Linked DNA regions of Arabidopsis thaliana. The protein of the gene in region 1 interacts with the protein of each later gene in a pairwise test. Each region holds a gene or a part of one and is shown on either strand. Other genes may lie near its edges.

What was found.
Region 2: the proteins of NAC089 (region 1) and AT5G49540 interact in a two-hybrid assay, tested with the Arabidopsis thaliana proteins (one large-scale study listed by BioGRID).
Region 3: the proteins of NAC089 (region 1) and AT1G64150 interact in a two-hybrid assay, tested with the Arabidopsis thaliana proteins (one large-scale study listed by BioGRID).

The regions. Positions count from the first base shown.
Region 1 is NC_003076.8:7,376,068-7,379,820, forward strand, and holds the start of NAC089 (NAC domain containing protein 89), read right to left. Parts: upstream 1,710-3,753; 5' UTR 1,432-1,709; coding exon 1,230-1,431; exon of another isoform or gene 1,050-1,229; coding exon 796-1,049; intron 630-795; coding exon 399-629; intron 313-398; coding exon 1-312. Other genes in the region: NIT4 (nitrilase 4), read left to right, coding at 3,334-3,496, 3,578-3,753. UniProt on the Arabidopsis thaliana protein: Transcription factor involved in plant cell division.
Region 2 is NC_003076.8:20,104,339-20,108,091, reverse strand, and holds AT5G49540 (Rab5-interacting family protein), read left to right. Parts: upstream 1-1,813; 5' UTR 1,814-2,107; intron 2,108-2,466; 5' UTR 2,467-2,482; coding exon 2,483-2,580; intron 2,581-2,678; coding exon 2,679-2,874; intron 2,875-2,984; coding exon 2,985-3,004; coding exon of another isoform or gene 3,005-3,014; exon of another isoform or gene 3,015-3,257; coding exon 3,258-3,288; 3' UTR 3,289-3,611; downstream 3,612-3,753. Other genes in the region: AT5G49555 (FAD/NAD(P)-binding oxidoreductase family protein), read left to right, coding at 19-98, 192-312, 403-469, 552-681; BLOS2 (biogenesis of lysosome organelles complex 1 subunit-like protein), read left to right, coding at 936-1,019, 1,091-1,390.
Region 3 is NC_003070.9:23,810,725-23,814,477, forward strand, and holds the start of AT1G64150 (Uncharacterized protein family (UPF0016)), read right to left. Parts: upstream 2,002-3,753; 5' UTR 1,856-2,001; coding exon 1,686-1,855; intron 1,589-1,685; coding exon 1,504-1,588; intron 1,268-1,503; coding exon 1,040-1,267; intron 943-1,039; coding exon 889-942; intron 796-888; coding exon 734-795; intron 622-733; coding exon 553-621; intron 475-552; coding exon 423-474; intron 40-422; coding exon 1-39. Other genes in the region: DIR5 (Disease resistance-responsive (dirigent-like protein) family protein), read left to right, coding at 3,339-3,753. UniProt on the Arabidopsis thaliana protein: Mn(2+)/H(+) exchanger, which transport Mn(2+)from the chloroplast stroma into the acidic thylakoid lumen. Might be a chloroplast-localized Ca(2+)/H(+) antiporter. Regulates Ca(2+), Mn(2+) and pH homeostasis. Required for chloroplast development.

The DNA.
Region 1 (3,753 bases):
TATCAGAGCCACTACACCTATAATAACATCCCATCGTGCCTTGTTCACTGATTTGATCGAGTATAAACCCACGAAGCAGCTCGACAATGATTCCGTGGCGTCTTTTCCTTTCTTCTTCTGTGATGGTCTTTCCTCTAACAGTGATGACATTTGTTTGTCTATCATGTTTGGTAAAGGAAGTACCCTTATCTCCATTGATGCTGATTCTAGTGTTGGCACTTCGTTTGGTGTGTTCCCTGTCATCACCGCTTCATCGAGATTGATGATTTCGTCTCTTAGGATATCCGCAAAGAAATCCTCGTCATTATCCACCTAAACCACACACACATAACATTCATTAAGAAGAACGACAACAATCAAGAACCATCATACAACAATTAGAAGCCAGGTGACAAAACCTGTAGATTTTCTGATGACTCTGCCATCTCAGCGAGTAGTTTCTCCCCTGATTCACCTGCTAGGTAAAAATCAACCAAGTTGTCCCAATCAGACGGGCTCCCTGAACTCGTAGCGCCATTTTGGACTTTCGCATGCTTCTCGGCTGATGAATTTGGCTTTGGTGCCTTCTGACTTGTACCACTATTGTATTCTTTGTTCCTCCTAACCCGGCAAACAACCATAGCATCATCCTAGAATTTACATAAACATAATCAATCAACTCAAGCCAAAGACAAAACTCCTAAAATTTTACTGTATTCCTCTTAGAGACTCAAAAAGTAGCCAAAGTCACCACCTCTTATGTAATGGTTAACAATTAATCTATAAGAAAAAACAAACTCTCGAGAACAGTTTTACCAGAGATACTCCTTTCACGCAGTACTCGTGCATAATCCAGTCAGTTCTTTCGCCTTTTGGTGCACGACCAATATGGAAAACAAGCGTCCTCTTTGTTCCAATGACCTCAGAACCAGACTTCACATCACGCTCTTTCCCAGTTGCTTTCCAGTATCCCATCTTCGTTGCTCTCCTGTTCTGTGAACCATGTGGATACTTTTTCCCACGCGCACAGAAGAAGAACCACTCGCTATCAGATTTCACAATCGACTTATCTGCAAAGAACAAACACACAAAAAAAATTGTCAATTCCAATCCAAGAGCCAAAAAATAGAAACTTTATATCTTAGGCACCCAAAATAGAGATCTCTCCTGAAGCCTGAAGAACAACAAAATCAAATTCCAAGTAGAAGAAAGACACAAAAGAATCAATTGGTTCGAATTCGAAGACAAACCGGGTAAATCCCAAGGCTCGAAATTGTAAATCTCAAGGTCCGGTATAACCTCAACGGACCTCTCCAAGCCATCCATCTTCCGCTTCAGGTAATACGAAATCAACTCCACATCCGTCGGCGAGAATTTAAACCCAGGAAACACCGTCGACGCTTCCATCGACGCCGCCGTATCCTTAGAAACTCCAACCGCCTTCGTGTCCATGAAGGCTCGCGCGTATACAACAGTCGCCACAAAAAGAGCGCGTAAGAAATCGGCCACCGCCCAAAGAGTAAAATCCGGGAATTTTCGATAACCTGAAGGATTTTTCTTCTCAGTGTGGTCTCTTCTCACTTGCTCAGGGAGCTTTTGAATTGTTATTGGAACACTTCACAGGTGCACACATATGGGTTTTTGCATACGTGTTGCCAAGGCATTGCTTAATCTACGTGTGCATGCCACGTCACTAAACCTAGTTATATTATAGGTTTTATTTCATTTAGACCCTTAATGTTTTTACGTACTCCCAATTTACGACTTATTGTTTAGTGTTTTCAGATAAAGTCCCAATATATATCCGAAATCTTACTATCGATCAATCGCTCACAATTATATATCCCAAAATATCTTGTTCAGGATCTCGTAATCAACAAGCGTTACCTCAAAGTTTTTGTTGATTTGAAGCTTAAGGGTTAACCACTTATCATTACAAGAAAACTTATCCTTCTTGATGGATTTCAACTGCTCCACAAGACTTTCCATATAGTTAAGTTTAATCAAAAACTCATGTTCAAAAAAGCTAAACAAGAAAGGTGAATTTTCGCAAATCTCCCTCCGTAAAACCTCGTACGTCTTCGAAATAGTATTAGTAGTAAAATCTGTGGACTATGTTTCTGTGTCAAGGTACGACAGGGAAAACGAAATGTATGAGTGAACTTTATTGTTGTTTCCATGATGAAATGGGGTTACAAATTACGATCAAATTATACTCAAATCATTATTTGTAAAAAAACTAAAGTGATATTAACGTGGTTAACTCTGTTCTGTTAATTTTTTTGGTGATGTGAATCCAAAAATTACTTTGAAAGTTTCTCGTACAATTAAAAGTTTAAAGTTGATGATGAACGGAAACTATAAACAATCATAACAAGAAATTCTCCAAATTATTTCAGCAACAAATTTATATTTTGTCAAGATCAACAATGATCGATAACGATAATATGATTTAAGAGTTTTTTCATACCAAAACTCTTTAGAATTAAAAATCCTCCTTTCATAGGCCTTTGAACTAAAAAATAGAACTCTTCAACAATATTTTAGTCAAAAGCTAATGATACGTGAAAGAGTTCGATACCTTTTATAACACCATCCAAGGATATAGATCAAGTCTAAAACTAAGAAAAGAGATAAACATCTAATCTTCTAATCCTCATACCTTCGAAAAGTAAACAATAATTAATATTGAATGCTAACAAGTAACAACCAAAATATATAAACAAACGCTTTGTTTGGTTTTTAAGGTTGGTTTGTTATCGAGGGGGTATTTTATCTTTTGAATTTTGTAAAAAATCTATAAATATAGGTGATGATTTTAGAAAAAAATGAGGATTTTTTTACACATTTTGGCATTTCCCCCTACAGTTAAAAAGAGAGTAAAAATCAAAATATATATCATGTGTTGTACAAGTAAACACCTACCAACCAAGCCCATCAAGAAGATACTACTACTAGAATCACTCATTTCCTCTATATATCTTATTGGTGACAAACTGACCAGTCACCAATAAATGTCTCTAGTCACGGCGGCTCCTCCGGTCAACATCGATCAAATCTTTCCCGTGGTTGACGTATACACTTGCGATTCTTCCTCCATCGTACAATATGCATGCATATAAATACCAATATAGGTGATGGTTATTGTAAATGTTTTTAGAGAAAATGAGGATTTTTTAAACCCATTTTTCCCTTCACTAAAAAAGAATCGACACACAAAAAGAGAGAGTTTATAAAATACACGATAATATCAAAGTTAAACACACACCAACCAAGTAAACAAGATACAACACAATTGGAATCTTTCTTCTTTGACAAAAAAAAAAGGAATCTCTCTCTTTCTCTGATTCTCTCATGTCCATGCAACAAGAAACGTCTCACATGACGGCGGCTCCACAGACCAACGGCCATCAAATCTTCCCTGAGATTGACATGTCCGCCGGCGATTCCTCCTCCATCGTACGAGCTACAGTCGTCCAAGCCTCTACAGTCTTCTACGATACTCCCGCCACGCTAGGTTCGTTCCTGTTTTCTCGATTTTTGATTCACTATGGTTGGTGAGATCGCTTTCGATGCCTTATCCACGAAATTTTGTCAGATAAGGCAGAGAGACTGCTTTCTGAGGCAGCGGAGAATGGATCTCAGCTAGTGGTGTTCCCGGAGGCTTTCATCGGTGGATATCCACGTGGCTCTACCTTTGAATTGGCTATTGGTTCTCGTACCGCTAAAGGACGAGATGACTTTCGCAAGTACCATGCTTCTGCCATTGATGTT
Region 2 (3,753 bases), about 13 Mb from region 1:
ATGTGATTTTGTATGTAGGGAAGCATGTAATCAACTTGTTCATCCAGTACACTCCTTACAAGCCCTCAGATGGAAGCTGGGAAGATCCTACTTACCGAGTTAGTTTGTTATACACGCTTGGCTAAACATTCCTTTACACTACAAGACATGCCAAACCCATCTGGATTTGCTTTTGCTTGTGTAAAAATCAGGAAGCCTTTGCACAAAGGTGTTTCAAACTGATTGATGAATATGCACCCGGGTTTAGCTCATCCATCATTAGCTACGACATGTTGACTCCTCCGGACCTGGAACGGGAAATTGGTCTAACAGGTATATAAAGTGAAGTACTTGGAGAAAGATCCCAAGTACATGCGACATGGCCAAACCATATTGACATGACTGCCCATTTGTATTCTGCAGGCGGAAACATCTTTCACGGTGCCATGGGATTAGACTCTCTCTTCCTGATGCGCCCTGTGAAAGGATGGTACGTGACTCCGAAGTACTCAAAACAGTCTTTACGATTTATGATTATGAAATTCAAAACTTTGTTGGACTGTGTGAAACAGGTCAAATTACAGAAGCCCTTTGAAAGGTCTCTACTTGTGTGGCAGCGGAGCTCATCCTGGAGGCGGAGTTATGGGTGCACCTGGAAGAAACGCTGCACATGTTGTTCTTCAAGACTTGAAAAGAATCTAGCGAGTATAATCTCAGACTGTGCAATGTTAACTCTCATGTGTAAGTTGTTTGTTACTGCTCTGAAAACCTCTGTCGTAGGGAGAGGCTTACAGACATGGACAATAGTTGATATCAACGAATAATAAGCCTCCACGTGTAGCTTAACCTAAATATCACTAATTCAACAAATATGGAAAGTGCCCTAAACAACAGAAGAGCCATTGTTTATTTGTCTTTGTCTTTGTCTTTGCGAAAAGAAGTAAATATCCTCATCAATGGCGGATTCACGAGATGATCTAGCTGAATCGCTACAAAATCTATTCACGAGTGTTTCATCTATGGTCAAATCCGAGCTCCAGGTGAAAATCAATCCGAAATTTTACAGATTTATTTGTTTCCACAGATCTGAAATTGAATTGGATAAAAATAGGGAACGAACAACCATCTAGATCTATTGGAGAAGATGAACCTGAGAGTTGCGTCAGAGTACGATGATATGGGTGACGTGGCAGCTGGGCTCAGAGTTTTCGCAGAACAGATGAAATCAAAAAGTGGTGGCTTGGATGAATTTGTAGGACAAATGGATGCTATCGAGAAACAAGTGTCGGAGTTTGAAGCTGTGATCTCTGTTCTAGATCGATATGTCTCTGTCCTAGAATCTAAAATCCGAGCTGAGTATCGTCATCCTCATCATCAGCGTCGCTCTAATGATTCTGTTGTTACAGACTGATGCATTGTAGCAATAATTAATTTTTATCATTACTGAGATTGTTGGAATCGAGATCTGGAATGCTATTTTGGTTTTAGTTGATATTGAAGCTAGATACGAATACGACGAATGATTTTGTCTACATTCGGTTTAAGTTTAACCAAAACTGAAATTTGCATAAATCAATCTGGAACCAAACCAAACGAAAAGCACCTAAGTTTTTTTTTTACCGCTACTCCATATATAACCATTTACCGTACTTACTAATGCATTGGTTAAGTGTTTTGTTAAACATATTAAAACCTCCTAAGCAAACAAAACCAAACCGAATTAATTTCAGTTTGAATGTAATAGCGATGGTTTTATAAAACCAAAACTTGGAACAAACTGAACTGCTCATCTTTAGTAGTAAGTAACGAATTTTCATAATCACAAATTGTGATGTATAATCATGTTATCCGTTTCAATATCAAGAAATTTAACTAGCATAGTTGGAGAGTGTTGTTAATTTTGATTAGTAGTGGACAATCCGGTTTAAGGTTTGGTTCCGGTTCGATTTTACGGTTTATATATTACTTGTTTTCTCTGTGTTTTTCTTTTGTCTAAAAACACTCTAAAGAACTTAAAGATATTCGTCTGATTGTTCTCTCTCAAATTGGCTCATCCTCTCCATTCAATTCATCCCAAGTACCAAAGCAAGCTACTTCGATCTTCCTCTTACTACTCTCGTTTCTAATTGTAAGTCTATATCAATTCCTTTTCCAAAGTTTGTGTAGATCTCAAAGTAGTAGATCGGAAGAGATCGATAAAACCAGATCGATTAATCATAGTTGCTCCCACTCTCGACTACTTAAGAGATAATCATAAAGTCTTAACCTTTAGGAATCGAAATTTATTGTGATGCTTAGATAGCGAAACCCAGTTATAGAATCATTGAATCAATTAGAAACCCCTAATTTTCCTGTGGAAATTTGCTTAAAATCAATACTTTTTTGGGTTTGTAATCTATACACTTACTCTATGATGTCCAAGTTCTTCCTTTTTTGTTACTGTAATGTAAAATCCAATACAAAGATTTGAAATTTATGTTGTTTCAGATTGTTGTTATCTTAAATGGGTTCATCTGAGAAGAGATCAAAGGATATCATGAGTGACATACCAACTTTCAGTGCAGAGAATTTGCAGAACAATTTGAAAGTCATTCAAAACAGGTCTGATTCAATACAATTCTCTCTCTTTCGTTTTCTTAAAAAGATGATGGTTCTCGGGTTTTTTGACTTGTTATCCCTCATTTTGTTCGTGTTTGCAGCCGGACGTTTCTGTCTATCATAGCTGGTGTCTTAGCAGGAATAATTGGATTCAATGGCTTGATTGGTTTTGTATTTTACTTTGTGGTGATGTTGATCACATCTGTTGGGCTCATGGCTAAGGCAGGATTCTCAGCTGACTTGTACTTTGATTCGTGGAATCGGGTTCTTTTTGACGGTTTTCTTGGTGGCCTTATGGTATATCTTCATTTCCTTTTCTTATTACATTGTTTGTTGCTTCAAGATACATGTTGTTGATCCAACCTGTTAATCTCATACTAATCGCGGTGTTGTTTTCTTTTTCGCAGTCGTTTGTGCTGTTCTGGACGTATCCTTAAACTCAATTTGGTGGTCATACTCATTTTATGATAATGTGCAAAACTAAATCAAAGGTTGATTAGCTTTATGGAAAAACATCTATGGTATGGTGTAGGTAAAAATGATTAGCTTCTTAAGAACCTGTGATTAACATAGAAATGGCCTTTTTGTTTACTTCGTGTAGAATCAAGTATATGCGCAACTCGAAAACAGCTCTCTCTATTCTCTGTTTGTCTCAGTAGGTTTCCTTAACAATGGAGTAGATTTGCGTATGACTTGGTGCACATATTCTGAGGGAACTTCTGCTCCAGATGAGGATGGTGAAACGGCACACAAGATTGAGTTCGGGTTTTGCAGCCTCTTCATCTAAACTGAATTAGATTGACAATGTTTCTCTTGTTCCCTTTTTGAACAACAGTTTATGAGTTCGTATTACCTTTTTTTGTTATTTGAGATCACATCAAACTGTGAAAACCTTTAGATTGAAAAGTTTCAAGTATTTACACTTTCTTCCAATTTCATGTGTTCACATTGTTGTTTTCTTTTTTTTTTACATTCTTGCATGTAAAATATATTCGAATATGCTTAAGATTTCAATAGAGAACATTAGAACACTCTCTGTCAAGTTTGAACTTAGCCGTCTATGTGTATTGTATAGTTCTTTTGTTGCTTCTTATGTTTATTTTCCTGTGTTGGTGTGGCTTGTCTTACCAACTCTAGTTGAGTAATAGAAAAAAGGTTGTTTGATTTCAAAAAGGA
Region 3 (3,753 bases), on another chromosome or scaffold:
TGAAACAGCATCTAATAACGTTGAAACACCGAAGTACACCTAAATGTAACAAAAGTGGTTAATACTGTTTCATGGTTAAGACTATGCTCTGTACAATATGATCCAACCCAAAATGAACCATAAACCAGGCTTGAAAACCAATCAACATCTTCATTGTTAGACCAGTAACTTTTTCTACATAAAAATCCAAACCCAATAGAGCCTGAAACTTATAAACTTCATGACAATTTTAAGACCCTTCGAATCGAAAACTGAACCAAAACCAAAACAAAACTCATAACAAAAGGGTTACAGCTACATTTGGTTTCACTTGGTAGACATCATATACTTAGGAAGATATACTTGCTAGACATAAGAAAGGTCCAAACCAAGCACCCGTGGTTAGTACGACTCTGCTAAGAAAGGTGAATAAAGAGATTTACCAGAAGACAAACTGCTGCAATATCATCTATAGGCAAATCGGTTCCACCAAACCTGTGTTCTCAAGCATTGACGTTCAGCATCATCATGGAACTTAAACCTGCTTAATAATTTTTGCCAGAATACTCAAACCTGAATGGAAGAACTTCATCGACATAGTGGAAAGTGCGTCCAAGCACTACAGATATTATCGTCATTATCCTGCAAAATTACCAAGTTTTATAACGTTGCTCTACAGATTTCAAAGTAACATTTGGTTTCAGACAAGATTCACGGACCATAATAACGCCTCTGTTTGAGAAAGAAAGCATACCCTAGAGCGCCAAAAGTCCCCACGAATACGGTAGCAGCAGAGTTCCTTGCTGCTAAAAGGGCCTAACCAACAAACATGAAAACTTATCACAATCAACAGAATCATTGATGACAAAGAGAGTTTCTAAAGCGTAGATTAACATCTCAAGATCATACCGCAATGAAGAAAGTCTTGTCTCCAAGTTCAGAGAAAAAGATAAGCAAGAAAGCCTACACAGACATAGACAGAGCAAAAAATAAAATTTAAGAGTACTGGAATTGAAGAAGAGATAGTTCCCGGTTCTGTGCAAAAGGAAGATTCTCTAACCGAAGCAAAACCTGAGCTAATATCTCCAAGGTCTCCAAAAGAAGTGACAAGTGACTGTGTCACATTGGGAATTGACGAAGCTGCAAAAGCTGGATCAGTGCCTAGTAATGCAACCGAACCTGATACCGCCAAGAACATAAGAACTCTCTGAATCTCTCTTCTTGAGTGAGCTATCGATGACTCAACCAGAACATCAAGATTTCTATCATGCTCTTCAGACTCAGCTTTCTGAACAAAGCAAACACAACAACTTATTCAGCTTATGCATTTAAACACATTCTCTCCACTATTGTTCAACCTTAAAATCAATCATCATTATAATAAACCTACATTACCATTTTAGGTAAATCCACACAGAACAAGCAATTCAGAAATCTCCTCTAGGCCTTAACAGAATCTCATCTAAAAAAATTCAAAAATCTACCAAAAGAAGATTGGTGGAAGGTAACAAAAATCAGAATCACCTCGAGGTAACAAGCCGCATCGTTTCGTTGGAAGCATCGAAAACCTAGCTGCTGAGATTCATTTCGACGCAATTGAGTCAAACATCTGCACAGAATTGTGAAAAGACGTAAACTCCTACATGGCTACATTCCATTCGCATAGCAAATTCAAAAGCCGATGAACAATCAATTATCAAATTTACCTAGAAAAGTATTGATTACGAACCGAAAACCCGATCGGAATTGGATAAGCGGAGACGCATCTCCTCGACGATGAGGAAGGAGAAGAAGAAGTAGAAGAAAAATCGGATTTGGGAGGCCTAGGGTTCTGGAATGGAATGCGAAGCGACTCCGAGAGATTCAAACTTAGCATTTCTTTCCTGAGGATTTTGTATTTCGCTTCTTCTTCTTCTTCACAGTGTGATTCTTCTTTACTGCGAGCAAAAAACCTTTGGCTCTGTGTTGTTCTGAGAAGATAGTGAAAAAAATCCACAAAACTAGAGTTATTCGCGCGCGTCCACGTAGTAACAGCGCACGTGTGGGAAAAACTCAAGCAACTGTTGAATACACGTGACGAGTTTCGAGCCTATATATCATATTGGGCCAACAATAGGCCCGTTTTCGTTAAAATGCCTTCGCAGATAAGGCTTTTTAGGACAAACTATTTTAGTATTTTTCTTTTCCTTCGTTTGTTATCATCTTCACAGTTTGTCAACATTCAACAATTTGTCTTTTTGTTTACTATTGTTCTGCTTTTCTTTTGTTTCACGATATTATTTTTTAAAATGTGAATAGTTATGTCACATTTGAAATTCTGCAACTTGATTTGCTTTATTGGCTGCCGAATGCCAATGTTCTATTAAGTCGGCGAAAGCTTAGCTTAATTAAAAAAAAATTGATGATAAAACGGTTACTTTTACAAATGGACTAGATTATCATTAAGAAAAAAACATGTTTGGTATGCAAATTATATTAGCCATAGGGTACTTAACAAACTAAAATTAAAATTTTCAACGTGACTTTTACCAATAAAATAGATGACTCTACTTTTAGTTATAGAAAAAAATGATATGATTTATATATAATAAAATAAAATAAAATCTATAACGATACTTTTTAGCATCATGCTAATGGTCAGTGGCAGTTTGACATAAATTCATGTAAAATTATAAGTTATTGGAAAAACTCCTCATGCTCTTTAGTTTTTATTATTAGTGCTCCACCAACCCATCATTAAAAGGCCAAATTACATATATTAGTAGTTCTGAAAGACTATACATATATATATTATTAATGTCCTAAATTTAGACGAACAAGTAGATTATTCATTGATTCAATATATATGATTTAAAGCCATGAATTGCATATTTAACCGATTTAATATCTCTTCTGCTTTTGAATTTGTGCTGTTTTAGATATTATTGATGAATTCGTGCAACTCCAGCTTAAGGTATGTACAAGCTTTAAGCTTATGTAGTCTTAAATCAAATATGTATTATATATACTAATTTGTTTTAGTACTTCATTCGTGTTATTTTTAACGATTTCTCCACTACTATAACATTTTGTGGAAAGTTTTGAAAGGTGATTGAGCCGCCTACATGGAAAACTTTCAGATATTCATGGTAAATGATCTCACTTTATACACATCAACAAAACTTATCACCAACCTAATATAAATAAATATATAAACAAGAAACAAGAGAGAAGAAGTGAGCTAGTCCACTTTGTTTATACTTAATATTAACACGGACTAGTAACCCAAGTTGTATATAAACCCATCACTCCTTCTTTGTCAATCTCACTCTCTCATTATCCACTCTCACATTTTCATTTAAAACACACATATTTTCAATATGGTAGGCCAAATGAAATCGTTTCTCTTCTTATTCGTTTTCCTTGTTCTAACAAAAACCGTCATATCAGCTAGAAAACCATCCAAATCGCAACCAAAACCGTGCAAAAACTTTGTCCTCTACTACCACGACATAATGTTCGGTGTCGACGACGTGCAAAACGCGACTTCTGCAGCAGTTACCAACCCACCGGGCCTCGGGAATTTCAAATTCGGGAAACTCGTTATCTTCGACGATCCTATGACCATAGACAAAAACTTTCAGTCCGAACCTGTGGCAAGAGCTCAAGGGTTCTATTTCTACGACATGAAGAATGACTACAATGCATGGTTCGCGTACACACTTGTGTTCAACTCGACTCAACACAAAGGGACGTTGAACATAATGGGAGCAGATCTCATGATGGTGCAGAGTA